Linked DNA regions of Anolis sagrei. The protein of the gene in region 3 purifies or fractionates together with the protein of the main gene of each other region. This does not show direct contact. Links are inferred from orthologs where the notes say so. Each region holds a gene or a part of one and is shown on either strand. Other genes may lie near its edges. The genes, in order: MPHOSPH6, HBS1L and EXOSC4.

Evidence for each region.
Region 1: the proteins of EXOSC4 (region 3) and MPHOSPH6 purify together in Homo sapiens (affinity purification with mass spectrometry; 7 studies listed by BioGRID and IntAct, with this or other methods). This does not show direct contact. The link is inferred for Anolis sagrei from reciprocal best matches to the Homo sapiens genes EXOSC4 and MPHOSPH6.
Region 2: the proteins of EXOSC4 (region 3) and HBS1L purify together in Homo sapiens (affinity purification with mass spectrometry; 3 studies listed by BioGRID and IntAct, with this or other methods). This does not show direct contact. The link is inferred for Anolis sagrei from reciprocal best matches to the Homo sapiens genes EXOSC4 and HBS1L.

What each region holds. Positions count from the first base shown.
Region 1 is NC_090028.1:21,294,017-21,299,216, forward strand, and holds the start of MPHOSPH6 (M-phase phosphoprotein 6), read right to left. Parts: upstream 3,304-5,200; 5' UTR 3,211-3,303; coding exon 3,160-3,210; intron 1-3,159. UniProt on the Homo sapiens protein: RNA-binding protein that associates with the RNA exosome complex. Involved in the 3'-processing of the 7S pre-RNA to the mature 5.8S rRNA and play a role in recruiting the RNA exosome complex to pre-rRNA; this function may include C1D.
Region 2 is NC_090021.1:80,662,382-80,667,581, reverse strand, and holds the start of HBS1L (HBS1-like protein), read right to left. Parts: upstream 3,086-5,200; 5' UTR 2,892-3,085; coding exon 2,849-2,891; intron 1-2,848. UniProt on the Homo sapiens protein: GTPase component of the Pelota-HBS1L complex, a complex that recognizes stalled ribosomes and triggers the No-Go Decay (NGD) pathway.
Region 3 is NC_090024.1:2,005,634-2,010,833, reverse strand, and holds the start of EXOSC4 (exosome complex component RRP41), read right to left. Parts: upstream 3,954-5,200; 5' UTR 3,952-3,953; coding exon 3,778-3,951; intron 1,688-3,777; coding exon 1,481-1,687; intron 1-1,480. UniProt on the Homo sapiens protein: Non-catalytic component of the RNA exosome complex which has 3'->5' exoribonuclease activity and participates in a multitude of cellular RNA processing and degradation events.

The DNA.
Region 1 (5,200 bases), on a different chromosome or scaffold from region 3:
CAAATGTAGCAAATCTAATAAAATTATCCTGCTTTGTGTGGAAACATCAGAGATGGGCACTAAGAAACGTCACTGACCAAAGACAGTCAAATTCACTTCCAAATGAAGATCCTGAACAAGTGGGATTTACTTCCAAGCAAAGACAGCGAGCCTTCGCCCTCAATCACAAAGAACTGCTTTCAATCCTCGGGTTTGGAGAGGAAATGGACGGAAAAGAGAGAAAGGAGCATTTTGCTCTGCATGTGCCTCAAAGGCGCCGCATCCTGAAAGATGGAGATACAAAGAGAATGGCGCTAATGCAAAACCGGAGCAAACAAACCATGAAGGCCCGACGATATTGAGTTATACATATTTAATGAATATTTATATTTTAAAAAATTAATGGCAATCTCGACTCAGATGTTGTTCTCTGAGAAAACGGAGCGATCATCAATCTCGCCACTGCGTTCTTCCACTGAGTGATGTGTTACATTATAGGACAGGAACGGAGTCCATTAACCGCCGAGCCGAGACTAATTCCACTTTGGGCTCAGCACCGGATTTGCAAATCCAAGGGCAATGGTGAGGTCAGGGCTCTTGTTAATATCTCTCGCTGGACCATCTCCACGTGACTACGCTGATGGGTTGGAGCAGAGAGGGAGAAATTAAATGAGACGAGGAAACCACAAGTAACATTAGCACATTGGCAGGTCCTGCCATTGGAAGTGGAGGCAAAACTTGGCCAAAATAAGAACGACCTTTAGTTCCAATTAAAACAAGGACGACCTTTGGTCTGAAGTAAACATCTTAAGCTAAAATGTAAAGGAAGAGGAGAATTTGATTGTGCTGGTAAGAAGTATGTCCCATGAGGAACATGATGATGATGATGAAAAAGGATGACCCAAACAATTACCGTCCAGTCAGCCTCACGTCGATACCAGGCAAGATTCTGGAAAAGATTGTTAAGGAAGTGGTCTGCAAACACTTAGAAACAAATGCGGTCATCGCTAATAGTCAACATGGATTTATCAAAAACAAGTCATGCCAGACTAATCTGATCTCTTTTTTCGATAGAGTTACAAGCTGGATAGATGCGGGGAATGCTGTGGATGTAGCGTACCTGGATTTCAGTAAGGCCTTCAACAAGGTCCCCCATGACCTTCTGGCAAACAAACTAGTCCAATGTGGGCTAGGCAAAACTACAGTGAGGTGGATCTGTAATTGGTTAAATGGACGAACCCAAAGGGTGCTCACCAATGCTTCCTCTTCATCCTGGAAAGAAGTGACAAGTGGAGTGCCATCAGCAGGGTTCTGTCCTGGGCCCGGTCCTGTTCAACATCTTTATTAATGACTTAGATGAAGGGCTAGAAGGCAGGATCATCAAGTTTGCAGACGACACCAAATTGGGAGGGATAGCCAATACTCTGGTGCCCCCGGTGGTGCAGTGGGTTAAAGCACTGAGCTGCTGAGCTTGTTGATCGAAAGGTCGCAGGTTTGATTCCGGGGAGCGGCGTGAGCTTCCGCTGTCAGCCCTAGCTTCTGCCAACCTAGCAGTTCGAAAACATGCAAATGTGAGTAGATCAATAGGTACCGCTCCGGCGGGAAGGTAACGGCGCTCCATGCAGTCATGCTGGCCACAAGACCTTGGAGGTGTCTACGGACAACGCTGGCTCTTCGGCTTAGAAATGGAGATGAGCACCGCACCCCAGAGCCAGACATGACTGGACTTAATGTCAGGGGACTACCTTTACCTTTACCTTAGCCAATACTCTAGAGGACAGGAGCAGGATTCAAAACGATCTTGACAGATTAGAGAGATGGGCCAAAACTAACAAAATGAAGTTCAACAGGAACCAATGCAAGGTACTCCACTTAGGCAGGAAAAACGAAATGCAAAGATACAGAATGGGGGACAATGCCTGGCTTGAGAGCAGTACGTGTGAAAAAGATCTTGGAGTCCTCGTGGACAACAAGTTAAACATGAGCCAACAATGTGATGCGGCGGCAAAAAAAGCCAATGGGATTTTGGCCTGCATCAATAGGAGCATAGTGTCTAGATCTAGGGAAGTCATGCTACCCCTCTATTCTGCTTTGGTTAGACCACACCTGGAATATTGTGTCCAATTCTGGGCACCACAATTCAAGAGAGATATTGACAAGCTGGAATGTGTCCAGAGGAGGGCAACTAAAATGATCAAGGGTCTGGAGAACAAGCCCTATGAGGAGCGGCTTAAGGAGCTGGGCATGTTTAGCCTGAAGAAGAGAAGGCTGAGAGCAGATATGATAGCCATGTATAAATATGTGAGAGGAAGCCACAGGGAGGAGGGAGCAAGCTTGTTTTCTGCTTCCCTGGAGACTAGGACGCGGAACAATGGCTTCAAACTACAAGAAAGGAGAGTCCATCTGAACACGAGGAAGAACTTCCTGACTGTGAGAGCTGTTCAGCAGTGGAACTCTCTGCCCCGGAGTGTGGTGGAGGCTCCTTCTTTGGAAGCTTTTAAACAGAGACTGGATGGCCATCTGTCAGGGGTGATTTGAATGCAATATTCCTGCTTCTTGGCAGGGGGTTGGACTGGATGGCCCATGAGGTCTCTTCCAACTCTTTGATTCTATTATTCTATGTCTGTTTTTATGATTCTATGTCTGTTTCTGGCGTGGGCTGGTCCATGAGGTCACAAAGAGTCGGAGACGACTGAACGAATGAACAACAACACAACTCCCAAATTACAAAATCAATCCTCCCCCAACCTTACTAGCATTCACATTTGGGTGTATTGGGTATTTGTGGCCAGTTTGGTCCAGTGAATGAAAATGCACCCTGCATATCTGATATTTACATTATGATTTATAACAGTAGTAAAATGATTGTTACGAAGTAGCATTGAAAACAATATTATGGTTGGGGGTCACCACAACATGAGGGACTGTATTAAGGGGTCACGGCATTAGGAAGGTTGAGAACCACTGATGTAGGGCTTTAAGTGGGAGGGGCCTAGCGACTCTTCCCGAGACCACTCGGCTCCTCTCCCCGCACCTCGCCTCCTGCGGCCGAAGGGCTTCGGAAGTGGGAGGGGCTAGCCGACGCTTGCCGAAGCCGCTCGGGAAGAGCCGCCTAGACCCCGCCCACTCCCGAAAGGGCCATGAAACCGGTTCTTTCTCCCCCTCCCGCCGCCCCATTACCTTCATGCGGAGAAGGTTTTTGGACAGTTTGCTCTTCACGTCGCGAGCCATGGCCGAAAGAAGGTGTGGAGGGCCCGCCTGGACTCGTCACGTGGCGGCGCGGCGTCTCTTCAGACTCGCCTTCGCCTCTCTTGCGACTGCGCATGCCCGGGGTGCGTCAATCGTACGCATGCTCAGTTACAGGCAGTGAAGCTGCTCTTCCGGCCCTTTCAGAACCTGGCAGGGAGCATGCGCATAAGCTTTAACTAGACATGCCCTACACTGCTGGATTAATGCACTTTGACTGCCGTGACTCAAGGATTGTGGGAGTTAAAAAACTCAAAAATGACAACAGCAAAACAGCAGAGAGGAAACAACCAAGCACAGCTTCACACCTCTCAACAAAAGATTCTCCCTTCAATTGCTAATGAAGGTGGTCAGTTGAAACATTCTCACCCAGCTCCAGCAGAGAAGAGCTCTTTGCCCCACCCCAGTCATTCCACAGATATATTAACCCATTGTCCTAGTTCCAAACAGACCTCACTACCTCTGAGGATGCTTGCCATAGATGCTGGTGAAACGTCAGGAGAAAATGCCTCTAGAATATGGCCATATAGCCCAAAAAAACCCCACAAGAACCTATTGATTCCAGCCATGAATGCCTTCGACAATACATTGTGGGAGTTGTAGCTTTACAGGCCTTTTAGCCTTCGCTACCACAGAGTGCTGGTGGCTCACCAAACTCCAAATCCCAAGATTCCTTGGCATTGAGTCCAGGCAGCAAAACTACAAGGTATTGTCGAAGGCTTTCATGGCCGGAATCACTGGGTTGTTGTAGAGGCATGTTCTAGAGGCATTTTCTCCTGACGTTTCGCCTGCATCTATGGCAAGCATCCTCAGAGGTAGTGAGGTCTGTTGGAAGTAGGAAAATGGGTTTATATATCTGTGGAAATACCAGGGTGAGACAAAGGACTTTTGTCTGCTGGAGCTAGGTGTGAATGTTTCAACTGACCACCTTGATTAGCATTTAATGGCTTGGAAGTGCCTGGGGGGAATCTTTTGTTGAGAGTGATTTGATTTGCCTGATTGTTTACTCTGTTTACTTGTTTTGCTGTTGCAATTTTTGAGTTTTTTAATACTGGTGGCCAGATTTTGTTCATTTTCATGGTTTCTTCCTTTCTGTTGAAATTGTCCACATGCTTGTGGATTTCAATGGCTTCTCTGTGTAGTCTGGCATGGTGGTTGTTGGAGTGGTCCAGCATTTCTGTGTTCTCAAATAATCTGCTGTGTCCAGGTTGGTTCATCAGGTGCTCTGCTATGGCTGATTTCTCTGGTTGGAGTAGTCTGCAGTGCCTTTCATGTTCCTTGATTCGTGTTTGGGCATTGCTGCGTTTGGTGGTCCCTATGTAGACTTGTCCACAGCTGCATGGTATACGGTAGACTCCTGCAGAGGTGAGAGGATCCTTCTTGTCCTTTGCTGAACGTAGCATTTGTTGAATTTTCTTGGTGGGTCTGTAGATAGTTTGTATGTTGTGTTTCCTCATCAGCTTCCCTATGCGGTCAGTGGTTCCCTTGATGTATGGCAAGAACACTTTTCCTCTGGGTGGATCTTAATTGTTATTCTCTGTACACCCAATTGTTGATCTGGTTTGCGGATGACTAGGACATCTTGAAAAGGCAGTCTTCCTTCATAGACTTCATTGTCCCACTGAAAGTAGCTGATGGTGAGGCAATGGTGAAACAATGAATTCTACGAACAGAAAGATGGAGTAGCTATGGGGAGCCCTCTCAGCCCGGTCATAGCTAATTTCTACATGGAACACTTTGAAAAACAAGCCCTGGAGACAGCAACAAAAAAGCCCACGATATGGTTCAGATATGTGGATGACACTTTCACCATTTGGAGCCACGGAGAAGAAGAACTCAACAGGTTCCTGGACCATCTGAACAGCATCCACCCAAATATCCAATTCACTATAGAAAAAGAAAATGAAAGAAGACTGTCTTTTCTAGATGTCCTAGTCATCCGCAAACCAGATCAACAATTGGGTCACACCGTCCA
Region 2 (5,200 bases), on a different chromosome or scaffold from region 3:
CTATATATTTCTTCTAGGTGTACAATCCTAAAACATTATCAGGATTTATGTTTATACACATCAGTTACATTTTCCACAGACAGGTTTTTAACACCTCCTCTTCCTTTCAGCAGAGTCAGCCACTTGCCTGTGTTGATAAGGATGCCTAGCATGACCTAACATCAATGCCCTTTTTCGCTCTAGTGCCACACAACAGATGTGCTGTCTCTAATCAGTGGGCCCAGGTAGAATATCCTATGTTTAACATTTGGTGCTTTAAAGAAAAGCCTTAGTGACCATCAGTACAAGTGTCCCTTATCTGGAATTTGAAATGTTCCCAAATCAAAGTCGTCCAGATTGGTGGCTGTAATAGTGGTGCCTTTGCTTTCTAATGATTCACCATGCACAAACTTTGTTTCAGGCACAAAATTATTACAAAAATATTACAAATACATTATAAAAGAACGTTAAAGAGGGTGTGTATAAAGTGTATATGAAATGTAGATGAATTTTGAGTACTGACTTTGGTCTCATTTTCGAAACATCTCCTTACATAAATGCAAGTATTTCAAAATCCAAAACCATTTATGGTTCAAAGAATTTTAGATAAGGGATTTGTGACCTATTGTTGTTGTTGTTGTTGTGTGCTTTCAAGCCACTTCTGACATATGGCTATGCAATTAAGGGTTTCTGTGGCTGAAAGTGTATGCTTTTGCCAAGGGTCACCCATGCCGAGTGGGGTTTTGAACCCTGTTCTCCCAGTGTCCATTGAGTCACACAGAGTGCATCCACACAGCAGAATTAATGCAGTTGGACAGCACTTTCACTGCCATGACTCAATACTTTGGGACCCTGGAAGTTTTATGAGCTATACGGGCTGCTATGAATTGTGGGAGTTGAAGTGCTAAACACCTGGAGGGCTGAAGTTTGCCCATGCCTGCTGTATGGGAAGTCAGACTTGGCCACGGTAGTCCACACTTTTTACATCCTGACTAGATACTGCAACGCGCTCTATGTGGAGTTGCCTTTGTAGACTGTTTGGAAGCTTCAATTAGTCCAACAGGAAGCAGCCTGATTGCTCACTGGAGCGCCGTACAGGGAGCACACAACCCCCTGTTACATCAGCTCCACTGGCTGCCAGTCTGCTACCAAGCACAATTCAAAGTGCTGCCTTTAGCCTGTAAAGCCCTAAACTGTTCTAGCCCAGCTTACCTGTCTTCACATATCTCCCTCTATTATCCACTTCAAAAGTTAAGATCATCTGAGGAAGCCCTGCTCTTGATCCCACCACCTTTGCAACCGCGATTAGTGGGGACGACAGGGCCTTCTCAGTGGTGGCTGCTCGTCTATGGAACTCCCTCCCCAATGAAATCAAATCAGCTCTCTCCCTTCTGTCTTTCAGGAAGAAGCTTAAGATGTGGCTGTGGGACAAAACATTCACTCGATAAATAGTGCAATATGGTTAACGGACTGGGTTAAACCCTTGTGCTGGCAGAACTAAAGACTGACAGGTCGCAGGTTTGAATCCGGGGAGAGCGCGGATAAGCTCCCTCTGTCAGCTCCAGCTCCCCATGCAGGGACATGACAGAAGCTTCCCACAAGGATGGTAAAACATCAAAAAACATCCTGGCGTTCCATGGGCAACGTCCTTGCAGACAGCCAATTCTCTCACTCCAGAAGCAACTTGCAGTTTCTCAAGTTGCTCCTATCACAGAAAAAAAAACCCCGAACTAATGGAATTGAAATTGGACAGGCCTTGGACTACAATCTCAATTGCGTGGTTTTAACTTATGTTTTAATAATTAACATTTAATTCTATGGTTTTAATTATATTTGTTTATTTTTATATGTATTGGCATTGAATCGCTGCCTGCTGTAAGGCCGCCCTGAGTGCCCTTTTAGGGTGAAAAGGGCGGAATAAAAACAAGTGAAAACATGGTTGAGCATGCGTTTACACATGCAGAGTAACTGATATAGGAAATCGAATGCCTCGACGATGAAATTGGACAATTTTTATAAGGAGACGCTAATGATGTTTTTTTAATTGCTTCTGATGTGTTTTATATTGTTGTAATATTTTAACCTATATTATGATATTATGTTTACTGATTTGTAAACTGCCTTGAGTCGCCGACAGGCTGAAAAAGGTGGTATACAAATACAGTAAATAAATAAATAATATGGGTTGTCGAAGGCTTTCATGGCCAGAATCACTGGGTTGTTGTAGGTTTTGTCGGGCTGTATGGCCATGTTCTAGAGGCATTCTCTCCTGACGTTTCGCCTGCATCTATGGCAAGCATCCTCAGAGGTAGTGAGGTCCTTTGAGGATGCTTGTCATAGATGCAGGCGAAACGTCAGGAGAGAATGCCTCTAGAACATGGCCCTATAGCCCGAAAAAACCTACAACAACCCAAATAATATGGGTTTCTCTGCCAAAGACTGCTGGTGCCTCACCACACTACATATCCCAGGGTTAAGGTAGTTAAAAATGGTGTCCAAGTGCATTTATTCCAGAGATGCACCACCCATCGCCTCAACCTCTATTAGGAACCAAATCTCCCAAAACAGGCCAGGTTCAAAATGGCCACACCCCTGTCAAGGCCAGCTATGGGGTTCCAACCCGCTTGGACCAAACCATTGTTCCATAATTGGAGGGATAACTCATGAGAAGCGGGCGCCCACCTTCTCAAACCGTCCCCTTCCCCCCCCCACCCCCGCCCGCCATGGTTCGGCCCAACCCCCGCTTTCTCTCCCCCCCCCTACCCGAAGCATATCTAAACCGATCCCAGGTGACGTCACTGACACGCCTCTCAAAAGGCTCCCGAAGGAGGAAAGAGCAGAAAGGAACTGTGAGGGGAGTCCTCTCTACCTTCGTCGTAGTTATAGCCACGCACGTTCCTATGCCGGGCCATGGCGAGCAAGCCGATGAAGGCCTGAGGTAGAGAGGCGAGGTGGTAGGTAGGTAGGCCTTCTCACAGCCCTAAGGGTGGGCACCTAGAACGCCTTCGAGTCGCCATGTTTCTCGGCTTGGGCCTACCGAGCGACGCCCCGCCTCCCAGCCTCTACCGCGACAGGCTTCCCACGCATGCTCTTTGGCGCGCGTGCGTTTTCCTTTCGGGCTCGAGCGCGCATGCGCGGCGCCCTCGAGACGTTTCAACGGCTGGTTGGGGGGCGCGCGCGCTCGCGCGCAGCTACACACGGCACCGCCCCTAGAGAGCGTGGTCCTTGTTTGCTGGCGCCGGCCATGTGCTACGTCAGAGGAAATGTCCAATCGCTTGGCGCCAGGCGGCCAATCACCGCGCAGGCCGTCGACGCTCGAAAGCTGCCCTCGTTTGACAGGTTGGGTGTCTTTGCTTGGAAGAAAGGCCAGGAACGTTTTGTTGACTAGGCCTGTCAGTGGAAACGAGGCGTATTCCTGGGTCATTTATGTTTCATATACGCTCAGCTTGATGGTAATTAACACAGGCCTGTAAAACTGAGATCCTTCCCACACAGCTGAATAAAATCTCACATTTTCTGCTTTTGGAATATATGGCAGTGTGGACTCTTAATAAATAATGTTAGCTGGAGGGTGGGCCATGGATGATGGGACTTCAAGTACCTTCACTCACTTCCTGAAAACAATGCAACTATCATCCATTGAGCAATAAAGACCAAACTTGCCATACAGAACCACCATTACCCACTTTCTCAAATAATCCGGGCAGTGGCGGGTCTCCAAGCTAGTAACCATCACAGAGATTAAGATCCTCCGGGGAGGCCCTGCTTTCCATCCTGCCATTGTCACAGGCGCGATTGGTGGGGACGAGAGACAGGGCCGCCTCGGTGTTTGCTCCCCGGCTATGGAACTCCCTTCCTGGTGAGATCAGGTCGGATCCCTCCCTCCTGTCCTTTAGAAGGATGGTAAAAACTTGGCTGTTGGACCAAGCTTTCGGGACAGGGCAATGAAGCGGCAATTGGAAAGATAACAGGGCCAATTGGATTTGATGCGGATGGCTAGGACGGTTTTAAATGGTGTTATTTTAAATGGTGTATTTTAATATTTCGATAAATGTTTTTTAATGTTTATGTATTGTATCCAGGCATTGAATGTTTGTTTTCGGAATGAGAAGGGCGGATATAAATGTTTTAAATAATAAATAAATAAATGATAAAACTTTATTTATACCATTTCCCCAAGGGGACTCAGAGCGGCTTACATGAGGCCAAGCCAGACAACACATCAATAAAACAAAAAGCGATAAACAAATAAAACAATACAATTAATATAACTGACATATAAACAATAACACGCAAGGATTTAGAAAACCTATGGCCAGGCCAAATGTAATAGTTTAAAATTTAAAAAATAAACGCTGGGCATGAACAGAGGTAGGATGTATCTGGTATGAGGGGTTTAAAAGAAATGAAGGGAGAGCAACCCAACGGGTAGTTAAAGTGCTTCTGGGGACATTTTGCTGGGAATTATTTCCTTATTCAGGGAAGGCACACAGGCCACTTCAACACAGCCCTATATCCCCAGAATATCAACGGAGAAAATCCAACATCTGAGTATGGACTCAGATAACCCAGTTCAAAACAGATATTGTGGGATGTTGTCCCTTGATATTCTGGAATATAGGGCTGTGTGGAAGGGCCCTCAGATAACCCAATTCAAAACAGAGAGAGAGAGATGAAGGTACATTTAAAAAATGTGCCTGTTCTGACTTACAATTTCAATTTAAGAACAAACTTACAGAACCTATTTTGTTCATAACTTGAAGACTCCTTATACCTCAGTTAACAGAACAGATGTGTTCTTGGGTATACCTCTTTATCAGAAAATTTAATACCAGAGGAAGAAATAAAATAATTTTAGAGAAGATTCTTTGCTAGAGGATATGTTAACTGAGGTTTGCCTGTATTGTTATTTCTGCAACATTTTCCCTGAGAATAATGCCCACTGGGCTTAGTTGTGGGTAGCTATGACTAGAATTACACTATGAGTGATATTCTGTACAGCTGCAAGAGCTTTTATGAATGTTTATTTAGCTTTACACACATACAAGTGAAAATATTTGTTTGTTTGTTCCACAAAGGCTTCTCCGTGGCTTGATGGATTTGTACCAAACTGGTACACATACCATTCATGATACAAATGAAAATGCTAGAGGGGATTAAACCACATTCAGGACTAGATCAGCCACCATATGGAAGTATATAGATAGACTACCTCAGAAGG
Region 3 (5,200 bases):
TTCTACCCTTCATGCCAAAAAAGCACAATCAAAGCACCCCTGGCAGATGGCCATCAACCATAATAATAATCATAATAATAATAATAATAACAACAACAACAATTATTCTAGAGTTGGAAGAGACCATATGGGCCATCCAGTCCAACCCCTTCTGCCTTCATGTAGGAAAAGCACAATCAAAGCACCCCTGGCAGATGGCCATCAACCATAATAATAATAATAATAATAATTATTATTATTATTATTATTATTCTAGGGTTGGAAGAGACCACATCCAGTTTAAGCCCCTTCTGCCTTTATGTAGGAAAAGCACAATCAAAGCACCCCTGGCAGATGGCCATCAACCATAATAATAATAATAACAACAACAATTATTATTATTATTTTAGAGATGGAAGAGACCACATGGACAATCCAGTCCAACCCCTTCTGCCTTCATGCCGGAAAAGCACAATTAAAGCACCTCTGGCAGATGGCCATCAATCATAATGACAACAACAACAATTATAGAGTTGGAAGAGACCGCATGGGCCATCCAGTCCAACCTCTTCTGCCTTCATGCAGGAAAAGCACAATCAACAGATGGCCATCAACCATAATAGTACTAATAGTAATAATAATAACAACAATAATAATAATAATAACAATAATTATTATAGAGTTGGAAGAGCCTGCAAGGACCACCTACTTCTGTAATGCACGAAGAACACAATCAAAACACCCCGACAGATGGCTATCAACAACAACAATAGTAATAATAAACTTTATGTATGCCCCATCACCATCTTCCCAAAGGGACTTGGGGCGGCTAACATGAGGCCAAGGCCAAGTAATTGCAATAAGGCAAAATAAAATGCATATGAAAGAGACAAAACATCAAATAAAATGCTTAACAATAACATAGCAATGCAATAAAACAGTGACAATAACATAATAAAGTGATAGAAGAATTAAATAGGGGCGAGCTGGGCCAAATGCGAAGGAGAAAAATGGTAAAATAATCATAATGATAGAGTTGGAAGAGACTGCAAAAGCCATGCATTCCAACCCCCTCCTGCCATGCAGGAAAAGCACAATCAGAGCCTCCCAGAAAGGTGGCCATCCAGCTTCTGTTTAAAAGCCTCCAACACAGAATTCCACTGATTTTTAAAAATATAATTTTATTTGATTGTGTAAATGACAAAAGAGAAGAAAAAAGTTCAGCTTGTCTTCTCCTGAGACTCTTAGATACTGTTTTCATATTCCAATGGTGTCTTCCTTTCTGGCAGAAAGGGGTTGGACTGGATGGCCTTTGGGGTCCCTTCAGGGGTCACCCATTCTATACCTATTTCATTTTTAAACTCTTCCTGATGCAGCCTAGAATGGCATTGGCCTTTTGAGCTGCCGCATCACTCTCTTGGCTCACGTTCTGCTTGGGGTCTGCAAAGACTCCTAGATGACTGTTTCCAAGGGGGTGCATGGAAACCTACCGGTCACCCACCTGGACGTAGATGTCGATCTGGGAGCGAGGGTAGAGCTGGGTGAGGATGGCGGCCTCGAAGGTCTGCTTGAGGTGGAGGCTCATCTCGGAGGTCTGCCGGTCACCGTGGGGCCGCCGCTTGCGCTCTCCGGTGCTGAAGGTGGCCAGGCTGAACTGGCAGTTGACCACCGCCTGGTCGTGCAGCGCCTTGGACCGCGAGCCCCGCGTCTGCAGGAAAGAGGAAGGAGACGGGGGTAGTCCAGGGGCCTCTGGGGGTCATCTAGCCTGCCCTCCTCACCCAGGAAATACCTCCCACCCTTGTTTCCACAATAAACTAAATGTTTCAAAATCCCATTCTCACAGGAACTGAAAGTGATGTGGAATCTTTTGAACAGGCACAGAGGCCATGGTCTAGTGGCATTCTCTCCTGACATTTCGCCTGCATCTATGGCAAGCATCCTCAGAGGTAGTGAGGTCTGTTGGAACTAGGAAAAAGGGTTTATATATATGTGGAATAATGAGCAGGGTGGGACAAAGGACTCTTGTCTGCTGGAGCTAGGTGTGAATGTTTCAACTGACCACCTTGATTGGCATATAATGGCCTCGGAGTGCCTGGGGGAATCCTTTGTTGAGAGGTGATTAGATATATAAACCCATCTAAGCCCTCTCAGCATATGATGGCCTGGCTGTGCCTGGGGGAATCTTTTGTTGAGAGGTGATTAGATGTCATTGTCGAAGGCTTTCATGGCTGGAATCACTGGGTTGTTGTAGGTTTCTTTGGGCTATATGGCCATGTTCTAGAGGCATTCTCTCCTGATGTTTCGCCTGCATCTATGGCAAGCATCCTCAGAGGTAGTGAGGTCTGTTGGAACGAGGAAAAAGGGTTTATATATCTGTAGAATGACTGGGGTGGGACAAAGGACTCTTGTCTGCTGGAGCTAGGGTTTATACATCTGTGGAATAATGACCAGGGTGGGACAAAGGACTCTTGTCTGCTGGAGCTAGGTGTGAACGTTTCAACTGACCACCTCGATTAGCATTTGATGACCTGGCTGTGCCCGGGGAAATCTTTTGTGGAGAGGTGATTAGATATATAAACCCATCTAAGCCCTCTCAGCATTTGATGGCCTGGCTGTGCCTGGGGGAATCTTTTGTGGAGAGGTGATTAGATCTATAAACCCATCTAAGCCCTCTCAGCATTTGATGGCCTGGCTGTGCCTGGGGGAATCTTTTGTGGAGAGGTGATTAGATATATAAACCCATCTAAGCCCTCTCAGCATTTGATGGCCTGGCTGTGCCTGGGGGAATCTTTTGTGGAGAGGTGATTAGATCTATAAACCCATCTAAGCCCTCTCAGCATTTGATGGCCTGGCTGTGCCTGGGGGAATCTTTTGTGGAGAGGTGATTAGATATATAAACCCATCTAAGCCCTCTCAGCATTTGATGGCCTGGCTGTGCCTGGGGAAATCTTTTGTGGAGAGGTGATTAGATCTATAAACCCATCTAAGCCCTCTCAGCATTTGATGGCCTGGCTGTGCCTGGGGGAATCTTTTGTGGAGAGGTGATTAGATCTATAAACCCATCTAAGCCCTCTCAGCATTTGATGGCCTGGCTGTGCCTGGGGAAATCTTTTGTGGAGAGGTGATTAGATCTATAAACCCATCTAAGCCCTCTCAGCATTTGATGGCCTGGCTGTGCCTGGGGAAATCTTTTGTGGAGAGGTGATTAGATCTATAAACCCATCTAAGCCCTCTCAGCATTTGATGGCCTGGCTGTGCCTGGGGAAATCTTTTGTGGAGAGGTGATTAGATATATAAACCCATCTAAGCCCTCTCAGCATTTGATGGCCTGGCTGTGCCTGGGGAAATCTTTTGTGGAGAGGTGATTAGATCTATAAACCCATCTAAGCCCTCTCAGCATTTGATGGCCTGGCTGTGCCTGGGGAAATCTTTTGTGGAGAGGTGATTAGATATATAAACCCATCTAAGCCCTCTCAGCATTTGATGGCCTGGCTGTGCCTGGGGAAATCTTTTGTGGAGAGGTGATTAGATCTATAAACCCATCTAAGCCCTCTCAGCATTTGATGGCCTGGCTGTGCCTGGGGGAATCTTTTGTGGAGAGGTGATTAGATATATAAACCCATCTAAGCCCTCTCAGCATTTGATGGCCTGGCTGTGCCTGGGGAAATCTTTTGTGGAGAGGTGATTAGATCTATAAACCCATCTAAGCCCTCTCAGCATTTGATGGCCTGGCTGTGCCTGGGGGAATCTTTTGTGGAGAGGTGATTAGATCTAGGAACCCACCCCCTGCCTTCCTACCTCGTGGGGCCCGTAGACGACGGCGAGGGCCTTGGTGTTCCCCTGCTCGAGGTAGGCGGACCCGTCTGCCTGGGCGAAGACCCCCATGCGGGCCCGCACCTGCCGCAGCTCCCCGGCCCGGCGCCCGTCCACGCGGAAGCCCTGCGCAGAGAGCAGCTCCAGGCCCGCCATCATGCAAGGAAAGAGAAAGGCGGGAACCAGGAAGGGTAGCCACGCCCACCCCCTGCTCCACAACCAATAGGGAAGAAGGGGAGGGGCCTGAAGAGAGAGCAGAGAGAAGGGCCTGAATGGCGGGATCAGCAAGGGGGCGGGGACTTAAATATAACCACGCCCCTTTCCCTGCTCCCCAGCCAGTAGGGAAGAAGAGGAGGGGCCTGAATGGATGGGGCGGCAAGGGGGCGGGGACTTAAGGATAACCACGCCCCTTCCCTGCTCCCCATCCAATAGGGAAGAAGGGGAGGGGCCTGAAGCGAGAGCAGAGAGAAGTGCCTGAATGGCGGGATCAGCAAGGGGGCGGGGACTTAAGGATAACCACGCCCCTTTCCCTGCTCCCCAGCCAATAGGGAAGAAGAGGAGGGGCCTGAATGGATGGGGCGGCAAGGGGGCGGGGACTTAAGGATAACCACGCCCCTTCCCTGCTCCCCATCCAATAGGGAGGAAGGGGAGGGGCCTGAAGCTAGAGCAGAGAGAGGCGTCTGAATGGCGAGGGAGCAGCAAGGAGGCGGGGCCTGAAGGATAACCACGCCCCCTTTTCCCTCCTCCCCGGCCAATAGGGAAGAAGAGGAGGGGCCTGAATGGATGGAGCAGCAAGGGGGCGGGGCCGGAACGATAACCACGCCCCTTTCCTGCTCCCCATCCAATAGGGAAGAAGGGGAGGGGCCTGAAGCGAGAGCAGAGAGAAGGCACCTCTCTGGCGGGTGAAGCTAGGGGGCGGGGACTTAAGGATAACCACGCCCCTTCCCTGCTCCCCATCCAATAGGGAAGAAGGGGAGGGGCCTGAAGCAGAGAGCACAGAAAGGCGCCCAAATGGAGAGAGCAGCAAGGGGCGGGGTCGCAACGATAACCACGCCCCTTCCCTGCTCCCCATCCAATAGGGAAGAAGGGGAGGGGCCTGAAGCAGAGAGCACAGAAAGGCGCCTGAATGGAGAGAGCAGCAAGGGGCGGGGCCGGAACGATAACCACGCCCCTTCCCTGCTCCCCATCCAATAGGGAAGAAGGGGAGGGGCTTGAAGCAGAGAGCACAGAGAGGCGCCTAAATGGAAGGAGCATTAAGGGGGCGGGGTCGCAACGATAACCACGCCCCTTTTCTGCGACTGAGCCAATAAGGAGGAGGAGCTTCTAGCGAGAGGGAGACGAGGAATGGCGGGGGAAGCAAAGGGGCGGGGACATAAAGACAGCCAATGAGGAGGAAGGGGAGGAGCCA